Linked DNA regions of Saccharomyces cerevisiae S288C. Changing the gene in region 3 together with the main gene of any one other region gives a genetic interaction. Each region holds a gene or a part of one and is shown on either strand. Other genes may lie near its edges. The genes, in order: SIZ1, CUL3 and RAD26.

Region 1 (3,757 bases), on a different chromosome or scaffold from region 3:
ATAAGTCGATCATCATCATCGTCATCATTATCGTTCATTAAATTTTTAGTATGATTATGACTGGGAGTATTACTGCGACTACCATGATCATGTTTATTATTACTATTACTATCATTATTTTCGATACTATTATTATTATCATTATTATTATTATTGTTATTATTATTATTATTATTATTTTTATTATGACTATCATTATTTTTGATACTATTATTATTGTTATCATTACTATGCCTGTTGCTATCATCATGATTATTAGTAACATGAGGATTATTTCCATTTGGTTCGTCATCATCACTATCGAGATTTATGATAATCGGTTCACTTGGATGTGAAGAAGAACAATGATGATCCGATACTGAAGTACCTTTTTCTGGGCTTCTACTACCATCATTGCTGTCACTGTCGCTGTCATCATCGTCTTCCAATATGGCTGTCCACTTACCATCAGAAGTAAGTTCTACCTGTTCAACGTTTTTTTGACAGTTCTGTAAAATGTCATCAACAAATTCGGAAATTGCTAAATTTTCCAAAGCTATATCAATTTGACATACTGGGCATTGCCACGTAGGAATTTGTAGTTGGGAGTGTAGGAACCATAATGCATCAAAACATTGCAGATGCTTACAATTTATTGATTTTGAAGGGTATTTCATTCTTGTGTACGAAATTGGACATTGCAGACTCATGATAGTAGATGTGGTAGTCAAGCCCATTTCTTCATCCTCCCGAAGTGTTTTTTTCAAGTAAAGTAACGTGGCTTGTTTAATAATTTTTGGATGCTGTAATACTTTTTCCAGGAGTTGCTCCGGAGTGATCATTTCTACAATGTACCCAAATAGCTTGTATTCCTTCGTGGTGAAGGCATATATCAGCTCCACATTGTTTTGTTGAGTATAAGGTTTGAGATGAGGCGTTAAATCCGCCGGCTTAGCTGTGCCCGGCTTACTCTTGAAACCTCTTATATTATCTTTGATTTGAACATTATTGCACCTTAATTCATTTGGGAATGGAAATTGGATGGGTTCATTACCTCGGGATCCTAATGGATTAATCATCCCAGAAAATAAGTATAGCCTGTGTTTGCTATTCGGGTTACTTAATAGATTATAGTCTGCTTTGGACAATTTAAATTTCGCAGAGCACATACCTCTTCCGCCTGTGACTTCCACGTTCATCACTAATTCAGGGATTAGCCTTTGTATTTTGTAAAATGGAGACTCTTTAAAATGAATTGTCGGTACAGCAAAAGATGATGAAGAAGAAGAGGCATCTGGATTTGTAGGTGGTGGTGCACGAGATGTGGAAGATGTGGTAGACGTTTTCCGCCGTTGAGTGGGAGACTGCCTAATAACGGAAGGTGATTGCTGCTGCACCGTGGGAGGCCCCTCCATAGAACGTACTGTGATAGCACTCAATGGGGTACCCTTTCTTAAAGCGTTCCAAAGATCTTTATAAACAGGCAAAGGTTCATTCTTTCTGATCCGTTCTATCAGAAATTTAACGGCTTGAACTCTATAAGGATCAGACTTGCCTACTACTAAAGCGTTCTGCAAGAAATTCCTGATAAGGTCCTGTAGAACGGCCTTGCGACCGGAAACCGGGAAAGATACAGACCTGCAAATATCCTTCAATTCGGACACTTTCAGCAGTTCCATCAGAGTGATGGTTTCCTCCACCTCGTTTCTTAGTTCATTAGTCGGTTCCCTATCAGGCCCAGGCGTTTCATCTTCCCAGTAATCCTCTAAATTTATCATTGAAACAGAATGTATATGGAACACTCAACTGTTTGAGTTGGAGTCTTCTTTTCTTGTGAAATATGGATGAACTCCACTTCATTCTTTCATATTCATATTAAAGATGATACACTTTTCAACTTACTATCTGGTGCGGTGAATGGGTGTATACATTGACTACAGCTCAGGTGACATCTAGGGGCCGTTTAGTGTAAGAATATAAAGTACAATCCAAAAAGGAAAATTATACTTGTTTAAGAAAAGAGGAACCTTCTGCTCGCTCTAAAATGGTAGTTCTAGTGATAGTTTAAAAATGCATTTTCCTTCCGACTTCGAAGATAGATTTCAGCATAAAGACTAAAAGCGTCAGCAAGGATTCGAATGAGTGACTCGTTGCTAGTGACTCTGACCTGTTTTTTATTCCAGCAAGAGGAAAGTTATATAGAGTAGTTTATGAAGAGAAGACACTTCTAAAGTTGAATAACGCTCCTAGCCTCAAGGTTGATGATTTAACTTGCAGCAAGCGCAGGTGAGAGCCAACACACATCAATAATCTTTCCAAAAGCTATGGCCAGAATTGTCGTATTAATTTCGGGCTCAGGTTCCAACTTGCAAGCCTTGATCGATGCCCAAAAGCAGGGCCAATTAGGCGAGGATGCTCATATTGTCTCTGTCATATCTTCCAGCAAGAAGGCATACGGGTTAACTAGGGCAGCGGACAATAATATCCCCACAAAGGTTTGTTCGCTATACCCATATACAAAGGGTATTGCGAAGGAGGACAAAGCCGCAAGGGCCAAGGCAAGATCCCAGTTTGAGAACGACCTCGCAAAACTAGTGCTCGAGGAAAAGCCTGACGTTATCATCTGCGCGGGCTGGTTATTGATCCTTGGATCTACTTTCTTGAGCCAACTGCAATCTGTGCCGATATTAAATCTGCATCCAGCGCTACCAGGTTGTTTCGATGGTACCACACACGCAATTGAAATGGCATGGCGCAAATGTCAGGACGAGAACAAGCCTCTGACGGCCGGATGCATGGTGCACTATGTCATCGAGGAGGTCGACAAGGGTGAGCCATTGGTGGTAAAAAAGCTAGAAATCATACCTGGCGAAGAAACACTAGAGCAGTACGAGCAAAGGGTACACGATGCTGAGCACATCGCGATTGTAGAAGCTACATATAAGGTTTTACAGCAGCTTCACAAATAAGAATAGTTCCCATATTTATACTTTTATATTTGGCATTCTTCAAAGTGAGGCGCGAAACATCTCGCGTCGTAAATCATGATCATGGATTGTGACAAAACGATCTTAAAGGTTTCGAATAAAATGTGTGTAAATACGTATACTTATATATGAATGTGCATGTGTAAACGCTTAATCGTGTTATTGCAAAACTAAAATCAGGCCAGATTGTAGTTTAAACGGTTCTAGTATAACTGGTTTAAGGTGCGGCTCACAACCTGTTACAGGGAGACAAAAACCATGAATATTCTTAAGCATTTCCCAAGCTATGTTGGCCCATCTAAGATTAGGACCTTAGTGATACCAATTGGCCATTGGACGCGAAAAGAGTTTAATAATGCGGTACAGAAACTTTCTGAATTCAACGAAATTCATCTGTCTGATGTAACCCCCATTGACAGCCCTATCTTCACACCGCAAGGCTTTCCACATGGGAAGTTATTTTTCGACTTCTTGACCATAGATCATGACGATGCATTGGAGTTGTTTCTGTATGATTTTGAGCCATTTCGGAAAACATTTGTCATTATTGGGCTGGTAAACGATTACAGTGACCCCTTGACCAATTTGAATTTCATGAAGGAGAAGTATCCAACTTTGATTTCACCGAATTTGGTGTACGCTTCATCTACACCCACTAAAGAGCTTGAGCAAACCATAGATACGATGGAAAATGTATTCGCATCTTCTCCAGATATGCAGAAAAACATAGAAACGATTATGTGCGACATAGCAAGGAACTTTTTAACCGCATTGAACAGCTATTACTCTTC
Region 2 (3,757 bases), on a different chromosome or scaffold from region 3:
GCGAGAATTTTGTTCTGCAGCGCAGGTTTGAAGGTCGATAATTTTGTAGATCTTAAGTATACACCCGGCGATAGCTTCTCACCATGCGTAATCACACCTAAAGCCTTCCTTTCATCTGAATTGAAATCTTTCAGCAATTGTTCTGCATATGCGCTTTCTGACTTTCTTTTGAGCGCCGTTTGCATTTCCTGTCTTTGTCTTTTGGTTTTCTTGGGGGAGAGATTTTCCTTGACTTCTGACTTTTTTACATTCAGTTGTTGAAGTTGCCTATGTTGGGCAAACTGCTGTTGCTGCTTCATCCAAGGATTTTCAGGGATGTTCAAATCGTGCTTCCGCTTTCTAGTTTTATCTGCTAGAAGCGCGTTATATAACTGAGACATTCCCTGAGAGGTAAGGTATTGTGTAATTGTCTGATCTGAATGTGGCGAGTCCAACAGTCGGAGTAATGATTCTCTTTCTGCAAGTGTTCTCTTGGCAGCCATTTCAAATTTTTTGGACTCTACTACGAGTGCCTCTTCTTCAGCAATTTCTGCTGCAGAACGAGAAAGAAGACGCTGTAAATACTTTTTTCTCTCTATCTCCTTTTCAGCTGAAAAATTCAAAGAAGATAAAAGCGGATTGCTAGGATCACTTGCTTTAAAATAATTCCTACAGGTGTAATAAAATTTTTCTTTGAGATCTTCAAGTGTTCTTGAATTATTATAACTGTATCTGTCAAAGATCAGGAACCAACGTAAATCGTATTTTTTGCAGAGATTGAACAGGTATTCTATTTCTTCAAAAGACCAGCTATTTTTACTTTCATCCTTCTTTTCATTAGTAAAGTTTTCGTTATGGTTTTTTTCACTTTCTACGCTTTTTTGAGTTCCTTCGTTTTCATTCATAAAAGCCTCGTACTCCTCCTTGGTGAATGATGGAATAGATAAATGCTGATTGAACTTAGAATATGGCGATTCTTTTGGTGTGTCTCCTATTAATTCTTTGGAACCCTTGACCCAATGACGCAGAGTCACAGAGTTATTAGCTTTGAACTCTACAAATGACCAAGGAGATGGCTTGGACGTCGAAAGCATTTTTTCTTTAAAGTTATTTCCAGACTTAATAACAACGGGGGGTTGGTTCTCTCCTAGCAGGTTAAATAGTTCTCTTTGCATGCCCGTCACTTGAGGCTTGGGCCGGTTGGCTGCCGAGGACGAAGGCACTGATACCTGGCCATTAGTTGGACTTCTGGATTTTTGCTTAATGTTTAGTACATCAAAGATGTCTGATGATGACATATTACCTGTGGTTTTTTTACTAAATTTTCGTATTATCGGAGAAATATGTTATGAATGCTTGTTGCTATTAAAATACAAAGTGGATTCTTGATTTATCACTAAATAGCTACCCGGAGTTGGCGCATCGCAACTTCATTAAATAAGTTCGAGTGTGCGTATTCTAATCTGATTCATATAAAGTATACTCTAAACGGGCTAACTCAAATCTGAAATTAGGGCTACTATATGATAACTAATAAGAAAATAAAGATAAGTGTCCCAGAAAAACTCGGTTTGTCAGAAGAATCTTTTGAGGAATCCTGGGAAACAGTTAAATATGCCATTGATCATATATACAGCGATGACATGGCCGACCTTTCCTTCGAACAAGTGTACAAGACCATTTATACTATCGTTTTAAATAAAAAGGGGCCAATACTTTATAACAGATTGAAAGATTATTTAATCCAAAAATTAGCGCTTTTGAGGGAAACGATAGTCAAGGACAATACTCATGATTATGAGTTTCTTGGAACTATGGCACGGTTATGGGAGGTGCAATGCCATTGTTTTAAAATAACGGGAGACTTAATGATGTATATGGACAAAGTTTATTGCAAACCAAATAGATGCATGGAGGTATACGACATGTGCCTCGATCTTTTCCGAATCGAAATATTGCAAAAATGCTCATCTTCTCTCATCTCAGCACTGATATCTGATATAGAAAGGATTCGTAATTTAGGATCTGTCGACTCCGAACATACTAGTTTGTGGAAAGTACTAATAGGAATGATGGAGACATTACATGACAATAGAGATAGTTTTTTCTTAACCGATTTTGAGCCGGTTTTGATTAGCGCGACAGAAGAATACTACAATAAAGCTATTGATATTGAATTATTAACGCCAATTGAGAGCCTGGAAAAGATTAGGAAGTTAAGGCAGTTTGAAAGTATGCTAGACTCCTCTTTTCTAAATGTGGATTCTCATAATAAGTTGAAGACTGTATTAGAAAATGTCCTTATATGGGGAAAGTTGAGTGATATTATTGAAGATCTAACGCACGAAGCAATGGTAATTTCAAATGGAAAGCTACTCCAAGAAATTTATGACTTGTCAAGCGAGGAAAAATATCGCGTTACTGTCATTGAATCTATTAAATCTTACATCAATAAAAATGCCATAAATATTCCTTTTAATGAAGGTAACCGCAAAAAAGGGCAGAATGCGATTACTTGGTCTTCGGAAATTGTAGAGCTATATCGCAGTCAACACTCGTTTTTGGAAAGTATTGATTTTGGTTCTGTTCGTCTTAATAATTTGACCGGGGATGTATCTAATGCAATACTTGGCGATGTTTTCTCAATGTATTTCTCTAAAGAAGGAGCATTACCATCTGAGTATCTTTCTACCTACGTGGACCATTGTATGAAACGAACCAAGGAAAAAGATGCTGAAATAGTGAAGATCAAGCAAGATTTGCTTGATAGTACCAAATTAATCGGACTCCTAACTGAGAAGGATATATTTGAAAAGATTTACAAAAAACAACTCTCCAGAAGATTACTGCAGCAGAGGTCTTTAGTGGAAATTGAAAAATGGATGGTGCAAATGATAAAGAAGGTTCTAGGAACTTTTTTTACCTCAAAATTGGAGATAATGCTGCGAGATATATCTTTATCCTCTGAAATGTATCAAGCATTCCAACACTCAACAATCAACAGCATAGAATATTTGAGTTTTGCACCACAAGTTTTGACGAGAACGAGCTGGCCCTTTCAGAGTACTAATCCAATTGATGAAGGTATTTCACTACCTCCTAGAATGTCACAAATTTTAGCTGGCTTTGAGGGCTATTACAGCTTAAAATACAAAGAAAGAGTGCTAAAGTGGGCTCATCATCTAAGTGTAATTGAAATTGGCTGCCAATTTAATAGCGGTTACTACGAAATAAGTTTTTCTGTTTACGCTGGAGTGATTTTCCTTCTATTTGAAGATTATGAAGAATTAACGTTGGGGGAAATATATGAACTAACTCATATTCCCATAGATGACGTTAAGTCTCTTGTAATGTCAATGTCGACAATACCCAGATGTAAGATTTTGAAAAAATCATCCAGTTCAGGAAATATGAAATTTTCAGTTAATTATTTCTTTTCTTCTCCAAACAGGAAAGTGAAAGTGCCGGTTATTGCATGCCCTCTACCATCTCAGAAATCAGATAATTTGGCAACCGCAAGTTCCGTGGACACTTATGATAATGAAATTGTTATGGAGCTTAGTGCTATTATTGTTCGTATCATGAAAACAGAAGGTAAGCTAAGCCATCAGCAATTACTTGAAAGAACTACGAAACGGACACAGTCTCGGCTCAGTCTTACACCGAGCATTTTGAAACGAAGCATTCAGCTTTTAATAGAGAAAGAATACATCCAGAGAAACGCAGATGACCCCTCTTATTACCATTACCTTTCCTAATTGCTTATAATGAAAATCAC
Region 3 (3,757 bases):
ACCAAATAGAACATTTCTCTTACCGTTTTGTATTTGGTTTAAATCTGAAGAATGCAGAAACTCCAAATATTTGCTTCTTTGATATTTCGTAAGCTTACAAAAGAGAACCATTTCTTTCTTTTGTGGCAGATCTTTTGCAACATCAGCTTTCACACGACGTAACAGGTACGGTGAAATCAAGTCACGCAATGCAACAGCACATTTGTAGCCGGTCTGAACTTGTATGTTTGTTGCGTTTGCATAACCACCAATATTTATAGGTATGACAAACTGTTGTTGAAACACAGGTAGAGTTCCTAATTTACCAGGGAAAATGAAATCAAAAAGCGACCAAAGCTCGGTTAAATTATTCTGTATCGGTGTTCCTGAAAGAATGATCCTATTATGTGTCTTCAGTTTTTTGCAAGTCAATGAAATCTCCGAATCTGGGTTTCTAATCTTATGTCCCTCATCTAAAACAGCATACTGCCATTTAACTTTTAGTAGCTTATCTGAATGTATTCTTAACCCAACGTACGTGGTAATTAAAATGTGCCCATCAGTAACGACTTTATCTATCAACTTATCTAAATGATAGCTTGATTCCAATGCCTTCTTTGTCCTTGTTGAGTTCTTCCAATCCTCGTAAGAAAAATCACTTGGCTTTGAATTCATTATCAAGTTCTCTAGATCGTTTTCATCCATCTTAAATTTTTGGTCAGAAGCCATTCCTGAACCCATTGAGTGCAATATGACCGTCCTCAATGGAGGCCACCAATGCTGGAACTCATTACACCATTGCTTCATCACAGTTGCAGGACAGACAATTAATACAGGGCCTGTTAATAGACCTGAATGATGCAACGCTGCGATAAATGCGATAACTTGAATCGTTTTTCCCAGACCCATTTCGTCACCAATAATACCGCCACAGTTCTGCTGGTAAAGCTCATAGAGCCACTGAACGCACGTCTTTTGGTAATTAAATAACAGCGAGTATATTTCACCGGGTATTTTGAACTGGCTATTAAGTTTTGCGTCGGGAATATTCGGATGAGGTCTTCGCCATTCTGGCAAGTCCGATGACCTTTGACTACCGCAAGAACGTTGTTTCACCCATTTTTTTAACCTTTCTTGATAATACAACTCGTCCCCATCATCCTTCGCCTCACCAGGTTGGCCTCTGAACCGCAGGTCTTCCAGTTCTTTGAGAATTTTATCGTCATTTTCTTCTTCTTCGTCATCTTCACTCTCTTTACCACTCATTTGATAGTCTTGATCGCTGAGATTGTCATCCTCATCCGTTAAATTTTCTACCATTTGTTCTGTTGCCATTTCAAAATCCTCATCTTTTTGTTCGTCATTCTTGGCATACTCTCTGTTTGCAGTGTCCAAGCTGAAACCAGCCTTGTGTCCAAATGCAGTGATCTTACCAGTCCTGATTAAAAACTCCTTCTCAGTTTCACCGGGTCTCTGCAGCCCCTCTTTGGAACCTTTATTTTCAGCACCTTGATCTACCTGCTCTTTCAACTCTTTAATCCTTGATTGGATATCGTCTATGTCCTTCAGAACTCGTTCAATATCGTCTGATTGTAAGTTCTTGATCTGGTCTCGGAGATTCTGCTTAACAGATATCCTAGTGGTATTGTTCAACTTCCTTGTGAGATGATTCTTCTTATTGACATAACGTTGCAGAGCGGTCTTACTCCGTTCTAGACGAGTCTCTTCTTGCTGCAGCGATTGTAGGTTGCTAAAGTTAGTTACATCATTAGCTATTTTTTCCTCCAAACTGCTTTGGGAAAGCACGTTAACTCCCAGATCTTTTAGTGACTCATTGTTTTCAAGTTTCGCATTGTCTTGCTGCTCTTTATCTTCCATCACTGATGTATGTTTCTCTGAGCAATGTTATATATATATATATATATATATTATCAAACCTCTTCCCTTCTTTTTTTTTCTTCCACTTTTATTGCATCGCCCTTAACTGAAATGAAGCTAAGGTATAAATTTGTACTTAGACTGATTATAATTTCTACTTACGGAACTTGTTAAGTGCATTTTTATTGTTCTACCCTCTATTTTTTAAATGTAATGTTCTTGAATACGCTACATGCGTATATATATATATATATATTGTAAGAGGATTACTGGACAAACCGAATAAAAGAGCTTGACGCATATATTTATTTATGTATATATTTACAGGCCAATTTTCATAAATAATCAGTCCTTCTGCTGGCTGTTCAGAAGTTTTAGCTTTTCCATCTCCTCCCTCGGATCAAACTTTCCTTTGCACAAGTTTTCGTACTGTTGATCGTACTTGCCAGTCGACAGAGGTGCGTTACCTGTGAACCGCTTAGTCATGTCGACGATTCCTCGCTTACAATCCAAAAATGCTTTCATCTGAGCAATACAAAGTTCGGGCAGATCCTTATTCAGCTCTGGATTGTCAAGACATTCTTGAGGGTTATGTCTCTCTATCATGACACAGGGCGATCTCTGCAAACATATAGCGACAGCCTTCTTCTGATCTTTACAACTAGCTACCATTCTTTGATATCTACAAACGCACTGCAAATTTATTTGTGTCTATTCTGTTCCGATTAATTGTTATGGCAGCCTTTTAATATACTATCCCTCTTTCTTTAAAGCTGCCCGCATAGCGAAACCTCGTTATGTTATTGTTTCAAGCACTTCAGTTTTTTTAATAATTAAAGGGATCTAAGAACACCGCAAACAATTGAGAAAGTAAACAAACGTGCACACGCAAAGGTAGTTCTCATGTCATTGAACTTTCTTCCAGGACGCCCCAATGCTACCCCTCAGACAGCTTGTCAAGCAACATGGCAAAATCATACCATCTTTGCATATTGTTCAGGGAATAATTTAATCATACTTACCAACAAATTCACTAGGTTACAGACCATATATACACAATCAGACTGTACTGCGGTCGATATTAACAGCCAGAATGGATTCATTGCCCTTTCCTTCCACAATAGGGTGCTCATCTACAAGCCCATTCATCAAATTATGCAGAATCCCAAGTGGACCCAATGTTGCCAGTTGTTCCATGATGACACGCCAGTAAACTGCCTAAGATGGTCTTCTGATAATGAGTTAGCCATTGGATCTGATTTTCTTTCTTTTTGGAAAATTAAGGATAATTTTGGTGTGTATCAACCTATTTTGCAGTGGAACCAAAAACAGCCTAAACCTGTTTATAATGTGATTATATCACAAGATTCGCAGCTGATAGTCAGTATTGGGAAGTACGACTGTAATGCTAAACTATGGAAGCGTGTTTCAATAGTCGGAGAACAAGCCATCTTTAACCTTACTATGTTGCCTCATCCGAAACCTATAACTGCAATGCGGTGGAAAAAAGAGCCAGACCAGGTGAGTAAAAACAACACTGCCTCTCATGCTCTTTATACGCTGTGTGAAGATAAAGTTCTGAGAATATGGTCTTGTTTTGAAATGGAGAAAAACCATACTGTGCAAATATGGGGTGAAGTGCCTCTTTCCCCCACGCAGAAGTTCTGCGTGATAATAGACAATTGGATCATTAGGCAAACTCTCAGTGTGAAAGACTCGGAAATCTTTGATATATCTGACTCAGACATTGTTATTCTGGGTTCAATGACTGGGGAAATGGAAGTTTTGGCTTTGAATAATCTTTCCCAAGATCCTCCAAAACCAATGACTAAAAAGACCATTTCCCATAAAAAAGTCAAGAAAGCAACTATGCTAAACGATACAAGATATTTGTACCTCC

Evidence for each region.
Region 1: mutations in RAD26 (region 3) and SIZ1 impair growth when combined (synthetic growth defect), as found in Saccharomyces cerevisiae (one study listed by BioGRID).
Region 2: of RAD26 (region 3) and CUL3, changing one enhances a phenotype caused by changing the other (phenotypic enhancement), as found in Saccharomyces cerevisiae (one study listed by BioGRID).

Annotation. Positions count from the first base shown.
Region 1 is NC_001136.10:1,287,406-1,291,162, reverse strand, and holds the start of SIZ1 (SUMO ligase SIZ1), read right to left. Parts: upstream 1,758-3,757; coding exon 1-1,757. Other genes in the region: ADE8 (phosphoribosylglycinamide formyltransferase), read left to right, coding at 2,304-2,948; TRAPPII-specific subunit TRS120, read left to right, coding at 3,225-3,757. UniProt on the Saccharomyces cerevisiae protein: Acts as an E3 ligase mediating SUMO/Smt3 attachment to septins and PCNA. May be involved in chromosome maintenance.
Region 2 is NC_001139.9:498,630-502,386, forward strand, and holds CUL3 (cullin CUL3), read left to right. Parts: upstream 1-1,502; coding exon 1,503-3,737; downstream 3,738-3,757. Other genes in the region: SWC4 (Swc4p), read right to left, coding at 1-1,277. UniProt on the Saccharomyces cerevisiae protein: As part of the CRL3 E3 ubiquitin ligase complex; polyubiquitylates monoubiquitylated RNA polymerase II subunit RPO21 to trigger its proteolysis; plays a role in global genomic repair.
Region 3 is NC_001142.9:495,455-499,211, reverse strand, and holds the start of RAD26 (DNA-dependent ATPase RAD26), read right to left. Parts: upstream 1,858-3,757; coding exon 1-1,857. Other genes in the region: PET191 (Pet191p), read right to left, coding at 2,203-2,529; RAV1 (Rav1p), read left to right, coding at 2,761-3,757. UniProt on the Saccharomyces cerevisiae protein: May be involved in the preferential repair of active genes.